Linked DNA regions of Cricetulus griseus. Each later gene encodes a partner of the first gene's protein in a complex. Links are inferred from orthologs where the notes say so. Each region holds a gene or a part of one and is shown on either strand. Other genes may lie near its edges. The genes, in order: Pkn1 and Map3k20.

What was found.
Region 2: Pkn1 (region 1) and Map3k20 share a complex: the UniProt entries of both Homo sapiens proteins name them as parts of the signaling complex. The link is inferred for Cricetulus griseus from reciprocal best matches to the Homo sapiens genes PKN1 and MAP3K20.

The regions. Positions count from the first base shown.
Region 1 is NC_048596.1:160,714,375-160,724,970, reverse strand, and holds the start of Pkn1 (serine/threonine-protein kinase N1), read right to left. Parts: upstream 6,973-10,596; 5' UTR 6,797-6,972; coding exon 6,776-6,796; intron 992-6,775; coding exon 691-991; intron 1-690. UniProt on the Homo sapiens protein: PKC-related serine/threonine-protein kinase involved in various processes such as regulation of the intermediate filaments of the actin cytoskeleton, cell migration, tumor cell invasion and transcription regulation.
Region 2 is NC_048599.1:102,753,502-102,763,598, reverse strand, and holds part of Map3k20 (mitogen-activated protein kinase kinase kinase 20), read left to right. Parts: exon of another isoform or gene 1-1,427; intron 1,428-4,179; coding exon 4,180-4,224; intron 4,225-6,115; coding exon 6,116-6,146; intron 6,147-6,238; coding exon 6,239-6,378; intron 6,379-7,345; coding exon 7,346-7,408; intron 7,409-8,815; coding exon 8,816-8,908; intron 8,909-10,097. UniProt on the Homo sapiens protein: Stress-activated component of a protein kinase signal transduction cascade that promotes programmed cell death in response to various stress, such as ribosomal stress, osmotic shock and ionizing radiation.

The DNA.
Region 1 (10,596 bases):
GCTGGCCTCTAACTCAGAGATCTACCTACCTACCTCTGTCTCCCAAATGCTGGGATTAAATGTGTGCACCACCACTGCCTGGCTATTTTTATTTATTCATATATGAGTATTTTTATCTAGAGTAGTTTCTCTTTTTTCTTTTTCTCACCTGGGTTGTAAGTGCTTTGTTTTTGTTTTTGAGGCAAAGTTTTACTAGGTAGCTCTGACTGGCCTTGACTCACAGAGATCCACCTGCCTCTGTCATATATACATATATTTTTGTATATATACATAAAGCAAAGAACAACTGAAAAATAGTCTATAACTGCTATTGTATTGGTATGATGTGGAGAGCTAAGAGAGTGACAAGTGTGCCATATTGGGCATTGATATGACTATGAGTTTCTGGGTTTTCATGTGACAGCATGTTACCCAGCTATTGTCTAGAAATAACTATAGCTGTGTCCTTAAGTAACTGGTGACAGTGTGTGGGTCTTTAGTGTTCGTTGGCATGTGCATCTAGGTATTCCTAATGCCAAAGACAGCTTTGGGTGGGATCTGGGAATAGGTGTGACCATGTGTTTCTCTAGGTGTTAGTGGCCATGCGAGTCTGGCATTTGCCATGGCTTTTGTTGACACAGGACAGTATCTTGATGGAGTAAAGCTCCAGAAAGTCAGTGGACCCTGCCTGCTCCCAAGCTTTCTGCTCACCACTCCCGGCTGCAGGGTCAGGAAGCACCACATGTGCATGCAGCTCCTGCAGCTGCTGGTGCAGCAAGTCAAGCCGTCGAGCAGAGCCCCGCAGCAGCAGCTCCACAGGGCCCAGGCTGCGGCCCAGGTCGGTGGTGGCTCGCCTCAGGTTCTCAGCGCCCTCCTTCAGCTTCAGCTCCTTGCGGATCTCCCGCCTGAGCCGCTCTCTTTCCAGCTCCAGCCGCTGCTGCACGCCGGGGGCCGCCAGGTCAGCCCCCGCCAGGCCCATCTGCTCCAGCAGCGACCAGCTGCGAGGCTCGCTCTGCAGGGGAAGACACCAGGCACAGAGGTCAGGGGCCAGAGGACAGGTGGCCTCACCAGGGCACAGTTCACCTGACCTACCACCCTACCCTACTGCACCCTAAAATTCCAAGGACAGGGGCTGCTCCTCCTCCCTGACCCACACAAATGGTAATATCTGGGCTAGAGAGATGGTTCAGGAGGTAAAAGCTCTTGCTGCCAAGCCTGGTAACCCTGAGTTCACCCCCTAGAGATCTACATGATGGAAAAAGAAAACCAACTCCTGAATGCTGTCCTCTGATCTCCACTACACTCACACACAGAAATAAATAAATAGGCGGCTGGAGAAATGGCTCTGTTAAAAGCACGTATTGCTCTTACAGAGACTCAATTCCGTTCAAGCCTCTAGTTCTGGATCTAGGGGGACTGGATTCCTCTGGCCTCTGCAGGCACTGATGTGCATGTGTACATAACCCTAAAGACACACATGCATAATAATAATATAAATAAATAATAAATAAATAAATAAATAAATAAGCCAGGTGGTGGTGGCGCACACCCTCAATCCCACCACTCGGGAGGCAGAGGCAGGAGCATCTCTGTGAGTTCCAGACCAGCCTGGTCTACAGGCGAGTTCCAGGAAAGCCTCCAAAGCTACAGAGAAACCCTGTCTCAAAAAACCAAAACTAAATAATAAATAAATAGAAGGTCAAAGAATAGGCCAAAAACAAGGCCTCCTTCCTCCCAGTTGCACTGACCAGGCTCGCCACAGGTGGGCCCTATCTCCCTTAATTTGTGACCTATGCAATGGGATTCTGGCAGGAAGACTCCAAAAGACCCCTTTTTTCTTCCAGTTTCCTGCACTCCTAACCAGGAGGTTCCAAGGGCAAGCTACATGTTTCTTTTGCCATACTCCAAAACCAGGAGAACCTTAGAAACATATCCTGACTTCTCTGATCTGCATTCCCAAACTGGGAGATCCCAAGGGCCAGCCCTGCCTTCCTGTCTTCTCTATCTGGTACTCCAAAGACGGCGCTCATCTCCTCCCACATCTCCCAAACCAGAGAGCTGATGTGGCACCCAAAAGTTAGAGAACTAACTTGTGCCCCATCTCCTTCCTACCCTTAGTCCCCAACTGAAAGGTACCCTCAGCTTCTGTCTCTAGGGGTCTCCTTCTGCCCATCCTATGGAGACCTAGCCCCTACCTCCAGATCCAGATGCAAAGGGGAATCAGCCGCCATCTGGGTCCTGGGTCTGGTCTGAGGGCCACGCCCTCTTCCTGAACCTCAGCCCTGCCAGGGCCTCTGGACTGCCACTTCCTCTTTCCTGCCAGCTCCCAGCATCCTCTGCGCCAGGGCAGCTCTAGGGCATGGGGTTTGTTGTTGTTGTTGTTGTAGTTTTATTGGGGGTTGTTTTGTTTTCTTTTTTTCTTTCTTTTTTTTTTGAAACAGGGTCTCTCTATGTAGCCCCGGCTGTCCTAGAATTGACTATGGAGACCAGGGTGGTCTGAAACTTACAGAGATCTGCCTGCCTTTGCCTCCTGGGTTCTGGGATTAAAGGCATGTGCCATGTAAGAGGTTCTTCCCACATCACCCCCTAAATGGCCATGCTTGCTTCTCTGGAGGCAAGCCAGGGACAGGTAGCCCTTAATTCCTGGCCTGAGAGAACACCCTGGATATACACACCCACAGTTGTATGTAGCAGACAGGATCTCATGTGGTACACAGCATATGTGTGAACCAAAGATAGGCTCATAGGTACGATCACATTTCCAGTTTTGCAGGTGTGAGATTTGCTCACAGGCTCACACATGCACACACATAAGCTCATATATATGTATACCCTTGTCATAGCTAGCTTCAGCTGTCAACTTGACAAACCTATGAAGAGGGAACCTCAACTGAGGGGTTGCCTCTGTCTGACTGGCCTGTGGGCATGCCTATGAGACATTTTCTTAATTGCTAACTGATGTAGGAGATCCCAGCCCTCTGTGGGCAGTGCCATCCCTGGCAGGTGGGCCTGGCCTGTGTAAGAAAGGAGCTGAGTAAGCCAGAGGAAGTGGGCCAGTAAGCAATACTCCTCTGTGGTTTTGTTTTAAGCTCCTGTCTTGATCTCCAGCCCTGACTTCACTCCATGGAGGACTATAATTTCTAAGACCAAATAAACCCACAGACAGGTGTAAGGGTAAGCGGACAGCCATGAGTGCTAGTTTGAGCCCTCCATAAGCTTCTCTCTCTCTCTCTCTCTCTCTCTCTCTCTCTCTCTCTCTCTCTCTCTCTCTCTCTGTCATTGCCCATGTCCCCACAGCAGCCCTGAGGCCCTCAGTCATGCTACTGCCTATTCATGTCTTGTCCCTTGTCCCCAACTTCCCCTTAAGAATCAGAACAGTCAGTGCTGTAGTAGAGGGTGTGTGTGTGTGTGTGTGTGTGTGTGTGTGTGTGTGTGTGTGTGTGTGTGTGTGTATTTGTGCAGCTTCCTGTAGACAGGCAGCATCAACTTCCTGTTTCTCCCTACCCAGATGTCCACCACGGCTGATCTCAGCTTGGGAGCCTAGGGGGCCCACCTGCCTTAACAGTAGCTCCCTGAAGTTCACTCCAGGAGAAGACAGCCCTGAGTGGCCCCAAATAGGAGACCACACTTGTTTGCCAAATATACACTAAATCTGAACTATCAGTGGTACAGTTAAAACGTATCAGGGACAAGGTATATATGAAAACATTCTATTTTCCATTGGATTTTACTGTGAACCTAAAACTGCTCTAAAACAAAAACATTTTTAAAAATAGTAGGAGTGTTGTTGGACAGATGGTTCAGCAGTTAAGTGCTCACACTGCTCTTCCAAAGGACCTGAGTTCAGGTCCTAGTAGCAGTGCCTGTAACTTCAGTTCCAGGTGGATCTGATGATGGCTCTGGCTTCTTCGGGTATATGTACATACCCCCCAATATACATCATTAAAAACAATAAAATCAATAAAAGTAGTAGTAACAGCAGTGGGTGAAGTTTGGTAGAATGTACAAGCTCCGAACCTCGTAAGTAACAACAACAGCAGCTACACAATCCATCCAAGTCTCAACTAATGTCATTCCATGTTACAGGTACTACCTGTTTTGTTTTGCTTCATAGTGTTCTGTGCTAGGTCTCATGTAACACAAGGTGGCTTTGCATTCAATGCACAGCAAAGGCTGGCCTTGAACTCCTGCCCCTCTTGCTTCCTCCTTGCTAGTTCTAGAATTGTGGCGTGCACCTTCACATCTGGCACAGCATGATGCAGATGCCTCAGATACATAGACAGAAATCAAACTATCTGCAAAATGAAGAAACTGAGGCCCAGCAAGGCTTTCTGCCACGTGCCTTTGATCCCTATACCCAGCAAGAGGGGCAGGAGGATGTCTGAGTTCCAAGACAACTGGTCTACACAGTGAGACCCTAACCAAAAAAAAGAAGAAAGGAAGAAACTACCTAAGGCCCCCTTGCCCTAAGATCCCACAGCCAGCAAGAGATAGGGCCAAGCTTCCTAACACTAACTGGGAGGGATCCATGTGCACCACACCTTACCACTGTGAGCAAAGTTCTCCTAGGCTCTTAAGCCCTCCTGGAGAGTAGATAAGATTGCAGGTCAAGAGCACAGATCTATGATCCTATCATCTCCTCTCTATATATCATCCCCCCCATGGTGACTACTATTCTGAATAGTAGTCACCATGGGGGGAAACTGGGACTCAAAAAGGCCGTAACAGTGGCTCTCAGTGAAGATGGGGTTGTTTTTTCATCATCTCTAGAAATACATGTCAATGTCTGGGGTCATTCTTGGTTGTCATTACAACCAAGGTACACAAGAGACACCTGTCAAGTGGAGGCCAGTGCTGCTGCTCAGCACCCTGAGGCACACTGGACAGCCCCCGCCACAAAACGATCCAGACCCAAATACCAGTGCTGGGGCCTTGGGAAGAGGCATGGGCTCCCGGATTGGACTACCAAGCACCATGTTCACAGGTAAAGACGTCACAGAGGCCCTTAGAGCACTGGCTGAGACTCCACCTCTCTTCTCATAACCATTCATAACCCCATTCCCTCCTCCAAAACAGGAACAAGACTCAGAAAAGTAATGGCTTTCACCCAGGAGTTCATCAGGGAAGACAGCACTGGATTTAAGCCCAGCCTCACCAAACAACACTCTGGCATGACTGGGCCCCACCCACGGTCCCTCACCATCACCCTCCCCCCACCATCAGGCAAAGCAGGTACACAGCCAGGAGCAGGGCCAGTTCAAATGGGGAGCATACAGGCAAAGAGGAAAAGTGAAGGCTCTCAGCCCCACCTCCAGTAGAGGAGGCCTGAGAATGTGTAACGCATGCAAGGAAGGCCTCCTGGGTCCTCCTCCCCTGGGTGATTCACTTGCCCAGGGCCAAGGAGTCACTTAAGGGCAGCAGGGCAAATGCTTGGCCTGGTCTTGAAGAATTAGAACATCAGCTTCTCCACCTGCCATCACAGACCTGGAGACACCAAACCAAGAACTCTCATCTTGGGAAACCTTCTTGGCAAAGTAGCTAGGGATCCAGAACCCCACATCCTGAGATTTCAATGCCTGGGGCGTTCCCAGAATCTAGACAGGACATCCGTTTGCCAGACACAGAACAGACAGGCATGGAGGTAGTGAGGCAGGGCAGCAAGTCCAAGCAGGAATGAACTTAAGGGAGAAGACAGAGAGGAGACGAGATGTTGGTCCAGACTCATTCTGGGAATCACAGCCTCCATATGTGCCCTGTGTGGGACACCCCAAGCACATGCACGCTCTGGGAAAGCCCTCCACAGCCCTCTGTGGGCTTGAAGGGGAGCCAGCACCCAGTGCATCACGCCTCTCCGGAGGTCTGACCTTGTGAGATCGGCAGCACCAGATACGCCCAGCTCCTCGGCAAGGCCGGCAGGCCATCAGCAGGACTGGGGAAGAGGGGTACAGGAGGGTGCAGGGGAGACACGGGGCAGGTGCAGAAGATGAAAACCAGTTACATAGGACAATGGACTTCATGGTGAAGAACTAATGGAGTCACAAAGATACCAAGATCTCAGATTTGGGTCATTAAATTAGAGAGTGGAAAGTGATCCTGACCCTGCTTCCTCTTGGGAAGGTGAGTTCAGAAATGCCCAACAGGTAACACAGGGAAGGCCATGGGCTGGCAGATGCCAGTCACAGGTGTCTGTTGCAAGGATGCGGTTACCCAGTCCTGTCGCCTTCCAGACATAAAATCCTTCCTGCCTTTGTGACAGGACACGCCCCACCTGAGATATGGCTCCATCTGTCAGGCTGAAGGGTGACTAAGGGCGGGGGCGGGGGGGACCGGCCTCTGGCCTAATGAAGTGACTTAGGCACTTCCTCCAACAGGTGCCCATCTGGTGGCGTCAAAATCATCGTAAAGACGTCTGCGGGCGGGGGTGGCCCGGCTTTGTTGTGCGGGGGAGGGGCACGGGCCGCGCGGCAGGGCGCCAGGCACCTGCTCCAGGTAAAGCGGCACCTGCCAGAAACGGAACGCTGAGGTCCTGGGCGAGCAGGGCGTGGGGACGGAACCCGCAGCTGGCCTGGGACACCCAAGCGGCGTCCCCGTTGCGCCCGCTGACTCTCGCGGAGGGCCGGAGGAGGAGGTGCGGTGGCAGGATCGCGAACAGCACCTCTTCCTCCGAGCACCTCGACGCCCCGACCTGCTACAAGGGCCCGCGCGAACTCCCTAAGGGGACCTCGTCCCGGGCTCTCCCGGTGCCTGGGGTCCTCGTGCCGTCCGGCCGCCCCGCGGGTGCGGACCAGTCTCCTACCTGCACGGCGTCGCCGGCCATGTCCTCCGGCCGCCCGCCCGCCAGGGGTCCCAGCGCCGAGGGAGGGCTTGCGAGCGCGCGAGCGGGCGCGGCGGGAGGCGCGGCGCCCAGACCCTCCCTGGCGCGCGGCGCGCTCCGGCCTGCTTCGCTTGGCCCGGCCTGGCCAGGCCTCCGCCGAGCTGCGCCCTCCGGCCCGCGGCGCAGGACGGGTCACGTGAGCGCCGCTGTCCGCGCCCGGGGAGGAGGCGGGGCGGGGCGGATGGGGGCGGGGCTCCCGGCGGCCCCCGGGGCTTGCAGTCGGGAATGGGGGTCTCCTTTGCTGTGCGTGCGGCTCGCCCTGCGCTCCTTGTAGCGTGCTGGAACTCTCGAGAGGCCTAAGCCGTCGCGAGCTTCAGAGAGGCCTTGTCCCCGCCTCGGATCCCTCAGAAAGCAAAAGTCACGATCCATCTCCCCGCTGCCCAGCAGCACAGGCTCATCCTCCCATTTTCCCGGAGGCAAGCACTGTGAGAACAGGATTTCAAATCCCAGGTCCCCGGCCTTTGGAGACCACCTTACCCCTCAAGGCAAGGATGTCCGTAAAACTTAATGAGAAACAGTAGGCCAAGTGCAGAGACCTCAAGTTTATAAAAAGAAAAAAATGACAGCAGCTGTCACTGTTAGTGTTTTGAAGACTATTTTGATTTATGTATGTTAGAAATACGTTCGAAGTGGCCAAGAAAGAGACCACCATTCTAACTGAAATGTCTGAACAAGGCAAAATTTGCTCTTGATCAAGACAGTGCTGGGGAAAACCAAACAAGGAGACAGGAAGTACATTTGGTTTTTATTCTAACTCAGGTGACCTCACAATCTTATTCAATTGGCTAGTTTGGAAAAAAAATGGTACAGAAGGAGTGGAGGAGAAAGGGGGATGGGGTCACTTCTCCAAGCCAGCAAATTCCTAGAATGGAGCGGGGGGGGGGGCCGCGGGGGGGCAATGTATAAACAAAAGTTTTACTGGGTAGGGAAGATTAAAATATCTCCATAAAGTCTTACAAGGTAGGGGAGATAATGATTGTAATTACTGTCCAAAACATAAGTTTTATAATATTTGCTAGAAATGACTCTTATGCACTTATGTACAGGGCCTCGAGACCAGAAGAGGACATGGGATTCCCTAGAATGAAGTTATAAATGGGACTGTGAGCCATCCCACCTGGGTGCTCTGCTCCGGGCCTGACTTGTGTGTTTGTGCGTGCATGCACAAGCCAGGGCAAATGTGTGGTGGTCAATGGACAACTTGCAGGGTCAGTTCTCTTCTTCCACCCTATCGTTTTTTGGGGGGGGCCAAACTCAGGTCATCAGGCTTGGCCTTAAGTGCCTTTAACTGCTGAGCTATCTCACCAGACATGCAGTTCCTTTGCCACTATTGATAAAGGAATTTGAACCTCAGCATGGCCTCTGATGCACTGAGCCTTGTGGATCCCTGGGGGCTCTAGTTTTTGCCCTCTGTGAAGTTTTGCTGGCTTTTTCCTGGATGCAGCATTCATACGGTACTCCCATACTGTCCAAATGGACCATAGAGGCCTCTGCAGAATTTCTCTTGGGGGACCACAGTAATGCAGGTGGAGTTTATACTGTGGTAGCTGTGAGGACCTCTCACTCAGAAACCCAGTGAGAGATTCAAACTTTGGTCCTCAGGGCTCCGGGTAATACCTACAGTGGGTGCCCTCCAGGAATCAGTGCTGGCACAGGGGAACAAGAGTATATCTATGTGTCTCTGTCCTCCCAGGGACCTCTCTCTCTCTCTCTCTCTCTCTCTCTCTCTCTCTCTCTCTCTCTCTCTCTCTCTCTGGGATTTTAACCGAGAGGAGGAAAATTGAAACAATAGGGAAGCCACTCCCTTAGCATCTTGCCCAAGCCCTCAACAAGCCCAGTACACCATCACTGATCTTTCTGGACCAGAGTAGAACCCTTCTTGTCTCCCAGCCTCCTCCTAAAGTCTCTTCTCCAAGCACAGCCCAAGGGGGCCTATGAACACCTAAAGCCTAGACATTTCTAGGAGGAACCCACCAGGCCCTGTGTGATGATGCCCTTGCCTTCTCCATGTCTCTCCTCACCCCTTCAGCAAGTTAACATCCTAATTATACCTCAAATGTGTGCTGAGTGAATTAAATAGCTTGCCAAACTAATCATCTGGCTTCCTTTTTGCAGATTGATAAAAGAGAGGAACCCCTTGCCTTCATAATCAAGACATGATGTTCATGGCCCCTGCATAGTGGGCAAGGAACCCGCCCATTTCACAGTTGAGGAGGGCATGGGATTGGCAGGGGAAAACCTTGCCCAGGCCCTGCCTGCCAGGTTCTGAGCTGCCTCTGGGGATGGAGCATGGGAATCCAGCCAGGCTCTCCTTCAACCTCCCAGTGTTCATTTACTCAGTCAGTCTTTATCACTGTCTGCTAGGGATTTGGGTGCACTGGAAACAGAGCTGTACTCTAGGCTTTAAAAGGGACATAGAACTAATTGTAAAATCCCCATATAACAATGATAAAAGTCCCAGCAGATCCCTGAAGCATCCCTGGTCTCCCTCCAATCTACTCTGGGGCCAGGAAACACTAGATCCCAGACACGTTATGTCTCACCACGGTCTGTCTGGCTCTCTGTGCTGGAAAGTCTAGTTCTGTCTTTGAAGAAGTCTTAGAAAAGGTTTCTCATCCTCATTTGGCCTTCAAGGCAGTCTGTCCAGCCGCTCTGATTCCTCATCTTGCTTCCAACCACAGGGCCTTTGTACAGGCTGTTCTCTAGCTTTAAATGTCTTTCAGTCATATTTCCCCAAGGCTGGTGCCCTTTGCTCATTTATTTATTGAAATTTTTATTACATTAAAATTGTATTTAAATGTATTTTATGTTTATGTCTGTCTGGGGTAGATATATGCACATGGGTCCAGGTGCCCAGAGGCCAGAAAAGTTATCAGATTCCCTGGGACTGGAGTTCCAGGTAGTTGTGTTACTTAACTGCTGCCATCTCTCCAGTCCCAATTTATGGTACATGTTAAAATATATTTACTATCCGTGTGTGTGTGTGTGTGTGTGTGTGTGTGTGTGTGTGTGTGAGAGAGAGAGAGAGAGAGAGAGAGAGAGAGAGAGAGAGCAAGCGCACATGTGCCACCAATGGCACATAAGCAGTGCTCAAAGGATAATTCTCAGGAGTCATTCTCATCTTTTCCCATGTGGGTCCTGGGCTCAAACTCTGGTTGTCAAGCAAGATGGTGGGTGCCTTTGCCTTCTAAGCAATCTCACTGGTCTACTTTATATTTTTGGTTGTGAACCTAGCCTTTAACCGCTGAGCCATCTCTCCAGCCCATCACTGGCCTATTTTAAATATTTTTTGTTTTAATCAACTGCTTAAATGACACTATTCTGAGACCCTCACAATCCTCCCCTGTGGCTTGAGGCTGTATCTCCAGTCCTTGGCATGTTCTGACTTAATTTCAAAGCCACTGTGCTTTGGCTGTGGTGGTTAGAATAGGAATGGCCCCCATAGACTCATATATTAGAGTGTTTGGTCCCTAGTTGATAAACTGTTGGGATGGATTGGGAGGTGTGGCCTTGTTGGAGGTAGTGTGTCACTGGGGGTGGGCTCTGAGGTTCCAAAAGCCAATGCCAGGTCCAGACTTGCTCTCTCTGCACTGTGCCTATGTATGGGGATGGAAGTTCTCAGCTACTGTTCCAGCACGGTGCCTACCTGTCACCACTCCCCAACATGATGGTGACCATGGATTAATCCTCTGAAACTGTAGACAAGACCTCAGTTAAATTCTTTCTTCTATAAGTTGCCTTGG
Region 2 (10,097 bases), on another chromosome or scaffold:
AGCTCTAGTTTTCCCCCAAACAAAATTACCCAAGCCTTTTCAGAGCGATAATGACACCTCCTGCATTTTAGGAAGTTGTAGCTTTTTCTCAGAACCCTGTTTGTGGAAATGATTTCTTCTCCCCCCCATGGTTGCTGGTAGGAACGCTATGAAATAACTGCATCCACCTGGGGGAGGGGCACTGACCCGTTAAGGTGACTCCGCAATAGCACAGCGCTGGTGAAGAGACCATCATTCTGCAGTCATTTAAAGGGAATTTTTTTTCTAATCTTTTTTTTTTTAAAGCAAAATCACATTTTTATTGTTTCACAAATCGCCAATAGGAGAAGGTTGAAAGCACATGGCATACTTCTTTAGATGTCCTGAAAATACTGAGGACTGCTTTGGGTTTGTTATTTGTTGTTGTTGTTTTTTGTTTTTTAAACCAGTAACTTAAAAAAAAAAAAAAAGCAGTGAATTTGTTAGACTTTTAACACCAGCTGAGGTAATACTTGATCCCCATTAAAATCAAAGGGGGTATTCAGGAGAGACCCGGAGCCATTTCCCTTCAAGTTACTATGTATGTATATAACTCCAGTTTTCATTAGAGTGCTAAGCATTTTATGAAAGATGGTTTTAAAACCTAGTGAGTTAAATATTGATACTTTAAAAAACGATTTTGTCACACTAGACTTGGACAGCCTTGTGAAACCAGTCGAGTCCCACTATACCACAGACACACAGTTGAGCATAAATCTTTCTGTAATCAGGCACCGTCTGCTGCTTTCGAGAAAGACCATTTTCCTGTGTAGACTATAAGCACTGTCTCAGAGGCTCCATCCTGCCTCACATAGCGTAGCCTGACAGACAGCTCTAGGTACAGCATTCTGTGATTAAAAAATGAAGGTCTATCAGGAAATTGGGGACAGGCCATGTTTTCTCAGACTCCAACCTTGTGGGCACTCTGTTGCTTGTGTGAGAAACTTTCTGGCATGCAGTTAGTTATTTCAAACTAGAGTTCAGGCACTGAGGCAACTGTTTTATAGCATGTGAGGAATTCTCTTAATTCCCACACTACACACTGCTTTTGCACTCTAAAAAACTGCTATTAGAAAATATTTCTATCCTTTGAGTGTGGGCTTTTAATAGGAGGCATCATCACTGTGTTTTCATAGCAGTCTTCTCCCTTGCACTCTATTGCAATGTTATTCTGAGCAAGTCTTATGCCAAATGCCATGTATAATGTTTGTATGGATGATTAAACTGCGCTCCTGTGTGGTAAGACTGTTTAGTTGCCGACTTCATAATTGGGATTTGATATCCCAGCACGGAGTCCACGATGTATTCAGAAATCCAAGTTGGTGTCATACATTTCATTCTGATGTGAACTTTTCTCTGCTTTCCTTTGTTCTAAGACTCCATTTTGCAATAAACGTTTTGACAGTAAACCCCTTTGTTATGTGTCGCTGTGTACATAAGATCTTTGTTAGACCGGATTCCTAACATCCTTTGAAGAAATCAGTGTCACACACATGCACATGAGTGCTAGCTTTTCTCTCCTGAAGTCTGTTGGAGTATAAATAATGAATTACTAAAGTGATGGGGCAGTCATGAGGGATTTTTTTTTATCCCCAAAGAAAACAGAAAGGCTTAGAACTCTTCTACAGCAGATGCACTGATATGTTAACAGGGTACAGAAACCGTGAAGGCGATGGTGAGCCTCTGTGTGGCTGGAGATCATTAACTCTTAGCCCCTGTCTTGCCCAATTCAAACCGTCTTGCAGCAGCGCCTGGTCCCAGCCCTCCTCTCACTGATCTTTGCAAGCATCTGCAGACTCCTGCTGGAGGGAGCATCAGGCAAAGCTCAGGTCTTCCCTTTGGCATAACCTTGATGAGCTGGCCACAGCGCAGCAAGAACTCCACTGTCCTTCCCACATTAAAACTGAAGGTGTGCTTATTTCATTTATACTCTTTATTCAAGAAATGCTTATTCCTCAGTTTCGTTAGCACATGTGGAAAGTATATAAAAGTCAAAACACCACACACACATACATGGGCATACACAACATCACATCCGCACATGCCCTGACATCCTGCAGAGACCAGCCTCAACGCAGGGCAATACTTCTATATGGTATCTCAATGTCTCTTACTTTACGTTTGTATCCATGGTGGACAAAAGGGGTGGCATGTTTCTGCAGCTGTATGCAGCTGCCCTGCGAAGAAGTAAAGCTTGTCATGTGTTTCTTTGATTGAGATCAACTTCAGATGAGCTTCCTTGGGTCCCTCGTCCACACTATTAAAGTGAGCATGCTGGGTGACTCCTTCATAGTGCGTGTGTAGAGGGTATGTGGAAAATACTACTGACTCAAGCCTTTGCTGTATGTCCTTGCAACCTATATGTAGTATCCAGAGTCTGCACATTCATGTTTAAAATAATAAAACCTGCTCTGCTGCACTCAGAATTGGCTTCCTTCTCTTTTTCCTCCAACACAATTTCACCTCATCCTGTGCTCCAATTAAGTGAGCATGTCATACCCACTCCTGTGGCCAGTATCTATCTAGTTGTTCTTCCTTGCCTTCTCTTTTTCCCCAGGGCCTGCCATCCCCAGCTCAAGCCACTTTCCCTGACATATGCTGTGGTACATCGGTCTTTGTATGCCTATCAGCACTGAGTAGACTACCAAACAATTTGGCAACTGAATAATGCATCCTTCATTCTATAATTTTATTCATTCTATAAGTTAGTATGATAAAATTTACACAGGTGGGGCTAGAGAGAGAACTTGGTTGGTAAAATGCTTGCTTTGCGTAAATGAGGACCTGTGTTCAAGTCCAGAATATACATAAAAAGCCAGCTGTTGTGGCCAGGGGCAGAGAGGCAGATAGGTCTCTGGTGCTCACCAGTCAATCAGCCCAGCCTAATTGGTGAGCTCTAAGCCCGTGAGGAGTATCTGAGGAATTACACCCAAGGTTTTCCTTTGGCCCTCAAACATGCATGTATCTACACACATACTCATGTGTACATGCCAATGTACCAAGTATAGTGCATTAATAACAAAAAATGATAAAATGGGCCTCCCCCAAATATAATCCACAGATGTTTCACTCAGTTCTAATAAAATTCTGTATAGGGATTATGCCTTTCCTTAAGCTTGTGGTTATACAATAAATACCTCTAAGTTGGAAAGATTAACTTAGCCACCATCAGATTGTCACACTAGCAGTAAACGTAACTAAATTCAACTTTTTGTCTTTTCTTTATTTTTATTGTTCTTTGAAAATTTTATGCATGTATGCAAAGTATTTAGATTACATCCACCCCCCATCAAATTCTTTTTCCCAATTTGCTCACACACACACACACACACACACACACACACACACACACACACACACAAAATTGTTTGTAACAGAGGCTGGGTGATATTTGGCATATTCTTTCATGAATAATCATCCTCACAAGTCAAACTGGTTGAAGCTATTGGCTATACCACACTGTAGCCCATAGGATACCGGCCTTTTCAAGTTATGAAAGTATTTGCTATTCAGCCCATAGCCATGGGATGTGAAAAGTTCTCTGGCATAGGCTGAAGTGCTCTACAAGTCCCCATCCCACATGTGTCCCTGACATGTTTCCGACTGTGTTGGAGCAACTCTGAGCCCAGATGCCTTAAGACAGTTCCATCCTCCCATGTCAGCCATGTAAGGGAGATGTTTAAGCCCCTAGAAACCCCTGTGAGAACAGGCAAAATAAATCACCTGACTACTTATGGTTGTTTTGGAATTTTTGATGGTAAATTATCCTATTATCCTACTTCTGGCTGAGAATTCTTAGGCTGCTCTGGTAGCTGGTGAATGTCAGAAAGGCCATGATTCTAAGGCCTTGCTGTGAGATGTATAGCCAGTCCTGCCTGCCAAACCCCATGCCAAAGAAGACTACATCAAGTTGTACCAACCCCTTAGAACAGCTCGTAAGGTAGAATGGATTGTTGCCAGGAATTCATTTACAAATCGGCTGCAGGGCTCAGCATCCTTGGACACTGAGAACCTCCTCTGAAGGTTGAGGAAACTGTCTTCCTCTCAACCTAACCCTCCAGAGGAAGCCAGAGCAGCAGGAGAGCTGATATGAGAAGACAAACCAAAAAGACTAGGATAATATTGCTTCCCTTTTTCATTTCCTTCGTATCTTCCACGCAGCTGCTGCCTTCCTTTGAGATCAGTGCATGGACTGAAGACGATGTGGTAAGCTGCTTCTGTTAATGCCTCATGGATCTGGATAGGAAGCCAGCAGATTTGTCCACAAGTTTGGAGATGCAGTTAGAGCTGGGTCTAGCTAGCAGAAGTTAACAAACTCCTCTTTTTGTTTAAATAATATAACAGTGATTGAAAATAAGGACTCAATAGCAAAAGCAATTAGCTCTTCAAATCTTATGAGGGTTTCATCTTCATAACTGGCTGTGAAAATACTCCAGAATATAGTAATGCCAATGGCAAGATAAAAGCTATACTATATTTTATAATTTCTATATACATATACTCCATGTACATATATATATGTATATATGTATATATATGTATGTATATATATGCATATATATATATATAGAGAGAGAGAGAGAGAGAGAGTATACACACACACACACACACACACTCCAGAATATAGTAGTATATCAATAGCAGGATAAAAGCTATGATTCAGAATGACAAGTACACATACTTGAAAAAAATTCAATTCTTAAACTTCTCTACAACACCAGTGGTAGACTTGAGCATACAGGAGAGAGACCATAACGGGCTGGAGTTCCCTGCACAGGTTCCCCTCCCACCTCAGGCCCGCTCATTAACTGACAAGATGCCTAACTGCCTTCCTTACTCTGGCCTTCCCCGAGAGGAATGGACAGAGTATGCCCCATAATCTTACATCCCAGGAGGCATGATACTTAAGTCTGCAGGAAGGCTCCATGCAGCTCTGGGTAGACTCCCTGAGGAGCAATCCCGGGTAGCCAGTTCTCTCTCCATATCTGCTTCCTTAATGGCAAAACAATTTTGAGAACTGCTGATGAGAGACTTCAGGGACCCTCGCCTGTCCAGATCCATTTTATAAGCTCAAGGGCATCATTAAATGCAGAAGAAAATAAAGATGAAATGCTAGCTAGTTCTAGCAAGGATGTGCTCCACCCTAGGGAGACAGACACCCCAAGGAGTCTCAAGGAAAAGTCATGATTAGGAATTCCAGGAGACCTGTTCTAGACGTCAGCCTGGTGTGGGGCTGGGGTGTGCCCCCTCTGCCCTTTGTTTTTTTTATGAAGTGAGTTTCTTGCTGCTTTAGGCAGCTGCGTGGGTCCCACAAAGCAAAGAAGCCAGCTTCCTGTTTCTCCCCTTCCTTGAACACTAGAAGCTGAGCCTCTTGCCAGCCCTGGCCCTGTATGTAATTGCTTCCTCCCCAGCTACAAGGGTGGTCCATCTCCTTTGAAAGGAAAGTGATTTGAAACAACTGAGTTCTGGGAGCTATTTTTAGTCTTTGCTGCAAGGTTAAGTGGCTCACATGCCATTCAGCTAAAAGTCCATTGTCTAGGGACCCAGGGAACCAGAGTGACTGAGTCTGGCCTCTTCTCTGTGTGTCTTCACCAGGGTAATGTTAGGTCACTGGTAAACAGGTGCCAAATGATATATACAAGGACAAGGGACCCCTAGGTGTAACCACCTCACTCGACACAGAAAGTACCATCTTTTGCATGGCCCCCAAATGGCTGCCATGGCCGAACAAGCTAATGGGAGTCGTCATCCTGTCCATCTCTATGTCCACTTCTGGGTGGTCCTTGTTACTCGTGCAGTTCCTGAAATAAGTATGGTAGCAGTCTACCTGCATGTATAATGGAAAAGTCACTATAGGAGCTCCTCTAGGAAAGATGTACACTTTCGCTCAAGGAAGTCTCTCAACTGCCCAATGCCCCCTACGGGAAGAATATCTCCAATTTGAGAGCTTGAGGCTTTAAACTCCAAAGAGAACTCTTTCATCTCTCCCTTGTGGCTAAGTTAAAGACATCTGAATCTATTGGAAACTGTTTTCTTGTTGAGAATGGCTACTGCCTGTATGTGACCCTCCCGAACCATGTGTGTCCTCTCTTCGCAGTATTTTTGGGTTCAGCAGCTCGTCAGAAAAGGCAAGTGAAATAAATTACCTTCGTATTTACAGAGTTAACTTTGTCGGGCTATGATTTATCCTCATTTCCTGCCTTCTGCACTTCTCTCCCAGGTGACTCTTCAGTAGAGATGAGTGGGTATGCAAGCTTGTTTAAGGAAAACAACATCACAGGCAAGCGGTTGCTGCTTTTGGATGAGGAAGATTTGAAAGACATGGGCATTGTCTCCAAGGGGCACATCATCCATTTTAAGGTACCCGGTGGGAGAGTGTCAATAAATCAATGTGTGGTATGGTGAGCCATGTGTGGGCAAATAGAGATGAAAGCATCACGGTATGGGACATTCGGTGCTGAAATACCTCCAGGCTTGTCCCTAACTAGTTGCCACACCTGCACTGCCCTGTTCCCACCTTAAAATCCCACAGCGGTTACCTGGATACAATGGTGTAACACCTCTGTATTGCCAGGAAGCCTCTAGTCTAGGGGGAAAATGGTGTGCAATGACACCTCTGAGAGATGCCACAGAGGAGACAGGGCTGGGCTAAGGGCAGGCTTCTGGAAGGGACATTAGGCAGGTGATGGCATTGCACTGGAGGAGGAGTCATGTGAGGGAGAAGCATTGCCAGAGGAAAGGCCTGGGGCAGGAGGAAGCTCAGTGGGCCCGAGGACTGCAACTAAGGTAAGGTCACACCTAGAGAGCGGTTACCACACCCAGGACTAGCCGAGGCCGCTTAGCCCACTTACAGCTGGAGGGGCCAGACATTCATGAGAAGTCCTGAAGGAGCCTGGAACTTTGCCCATTTGGGATTAGTTGGTTAAGTAGGAGTGTGGCCTCAGGTCTGGTGGTCTGGAGACTGCTTACCTACTGGCACCAAGAGAACTGTGGGCAGGGACTTCAGGGCCAGGAAACCCTTCATAGTTGCATCCGGGAGCTGAGTTGACTATTAGTGTGGCCCAAGCACACTAATAGGGGCCTAACAGGCCTTACCGATGGGGTCAGGAAATAGATGGGTGGAGCTTTACCATCTGTCTCTAGTCTCCTGTCCTTTCAGTGATGGCCAACTACCATGTCTACATATGCTTAACCACTGATAGAGGTTAACATCCCCCAAGATGTTCTATAAACTACATAAAGTCCTTTATTTTGTATGCTCAGTAATTTTAATCATCTTTGGTATCATCAAAGCATTAATAAAGTCACGTGATTTTTCTCCTTACAGTCAGCTATCGAGAAGCTGGCCCACGATTACCTGAACCTGTTTCACTTCCCACCACTAATTAAGGTGAGTGAGGTTTCCTCACTGACGGCTCGCTGCTTTTATTGGCATACGCACCTGCCACATCCACACCCGACTTCGCTAATGTCTGGGACTGTTGTTTGAAGTGAAATGTAATTACTTCTGTCCAACAAAAGACCCTTTGACGACTGTGATCTGTATAAATTACACACATTTGTTCCCCACGCTTTGAAATATTAACAACACATTCAAGATAAGAATAGTACCCCCCACTAAGATTGTAGGTGAAGGCCTCTGGCCTCATGCCTGGTTCTAGAGGCCTTTAAGTTACTAAAAAAAAAGCCACACACCAGAGCTCTGGGTTGCCACTTTCCCTCGGGGTGGAGGGGTAGGGAGTGTTATTTAAATAGAACACTAAATAGCAGTGCCCCTCCTTGTCCATGGGAATACATCCCAGCACCCCCTGCAGATGCCTGAAACTGAGATTAGCACCAAACCCTATGTATACTGCCTTTTCCTGTGCAAACATGCCTGTGACAGAGTTTAATATTATAAACTGGGCACAGTGAGAGATTAACAACAGCCAGTAATAAAACAAGTATAACAGTTTACTTATTAAAAAGCTATCCTAAAATTTGTGAACTGTTTACTTCTACAACTTTTATTTAACAGTTTTGGACCAGAGCTGACTGTAGGTAACTGAAACCATGGGAAACAAAACCATGAATAAAGAGGGACTACTGTACTTAACTTACAGCTGTGAATATGGTCTAAGGATACATGACACACTTCATTATAAAAATTAGCAAATGCTTGTAGTTAATACCTAGAGCTGTGGCTTGGGTCTCTCAGTCCACATAGACTGAAGAAGCTGCAGATTTCCTCTCAGGAAAGAGTGTATAAACACCTTGAATACTCTGAAGCTCTCAGTCTGCAATCTTACCATGCATCCAGTGCAAACTGTTACTCTGAAGCTCTCAGTCTGCAATCTTACCATGCATCCAGTGCAAACTGTGCTTCTAGAATGAAGTGCATAGTGCCAGATGCACCCAGAAAGCCACGCCAGTGACACTGCTCGGAAAAGCATAAGAGAAACCATTCAGCAAAGTCCTCAAAGCTGTGTCACTTCTCCTGCTCTCGGTCAGTAGTTACAAATTGTATCTTACTTTAATAATAGAAGTTCAATAAAAGATTAGAATGGAAAAACCTGTTAGCACCAGGAGCTAGGGGAACTACAGAAGTATAGGCAGGGGTTTGGGGACTAGGGACCCCTTAACAGTCAGAACCAGGAGCGGGGCTAACCAGGAAGTGTGGGCTGAGCAGTCGGGGCCTGGTGGGCTCTTTCCTGTGGCAGAGGTAAGAAGAAAGAAAAAAAGTAAAAAGTACCTGCTTTACATGAGAAATCAAAGTGAAAACCGATCTCTAATAATAATATCTGCTTTTCTATTTTAGGATTCAGGAGGGGAACCTGAAGAAAATGAGGAAAAAATTGTGAACCTTGAACTTGTTTTTGGTTTTCACTTGAAGCCAGGAACTGGCCCACAGGTAACATGTTTCAAATCATTTGGGTATTTTCAACCTGTAACTCAGTGGTTTTGTACAGTCCCTACCACCTGGTAACATGATTCAGAATAAAAGTGTAGACTGAAGGCATCATAAAGCAGAACCTAGCTGACAGGCAGCCAACTTCCTTTGGAATCCAATCTAAGAAATGTCAGTTTCCATCAGTAAAAAAATACTGGGGGAGACCATTCAAACTTTCAAGGTCACACATAGCAAAACACAGGCAGTGGGAGTTTTGGGGATGGCTCATTCCGTTCTCTGGCTCCTGGCTCTTGAGGAAAATAAGAATAAAACCACACCAAGATTGGAATGGAGACAAAGTGGAGAAGCAAGTTAAAAGTGATGAGGACAGCTAGGCAGTGTTGGCACATGCCTGTAACCGCAAGCATGAGGAAAGCAGGGCAGGGGGATCGATGAGAGTTTGAGGCCAACCTGGTCTACAGAGGAGTTCTAGGACAGCCAGGGCTACACACACAGAAACCCTGTCTCAAACAAACAAACAAACAAAAACCCCAAAACCAAAAATCTAAAGTGATGAGGACCAACTGGGGCAGTGCTATGAGCCCCAGCCGCCTGAGATGGAACTGATGAGACTTAACACTCACTGGAGATGGAGTGAGAGAGAGGAAGAGAGAGGAGCCAGCTGGGACAAAGGTTTCTAACTGAGCGGCTGCATAGATGGTGTTATAAAGTAACAGATCAAAAGGAAACCCTATTGTGCTGGTGCCATGCCAAGGTGCCGAAAACATAAGGAAGTAACTGATGTGGGGGTGATCAGGAAACACTTGGGGGAAGGCCTAAGTTTTGAACTGGAGCTTGAAGAGGCTGATGGGCCACTATAAAATAGTTACCTGAATAAAATGAATAAAACCTGTCTTCAGAGACTTTCTGGAAATCTTAACTATTTTCTGAATGTCATCTCACCAGTCCCCTGGCATTTATGTCAGATGCACGAGACACAATGATGTCATCTTTGATTGAGAAACAAATAAAACAAGACAAAGTGTGTGACTAGCCTGGGATGATGTGACAACAGATAGAGCCAAAACTCATGGCTTGCTTTTTGTTTTCATTGTATATGTGCTAACTCATTTAAGCCACCTCTAAAATGAAATGAAACAGTCACCGAATAGATTACTCTCCAGTTCTACAGTACCCCATTATGTCACTC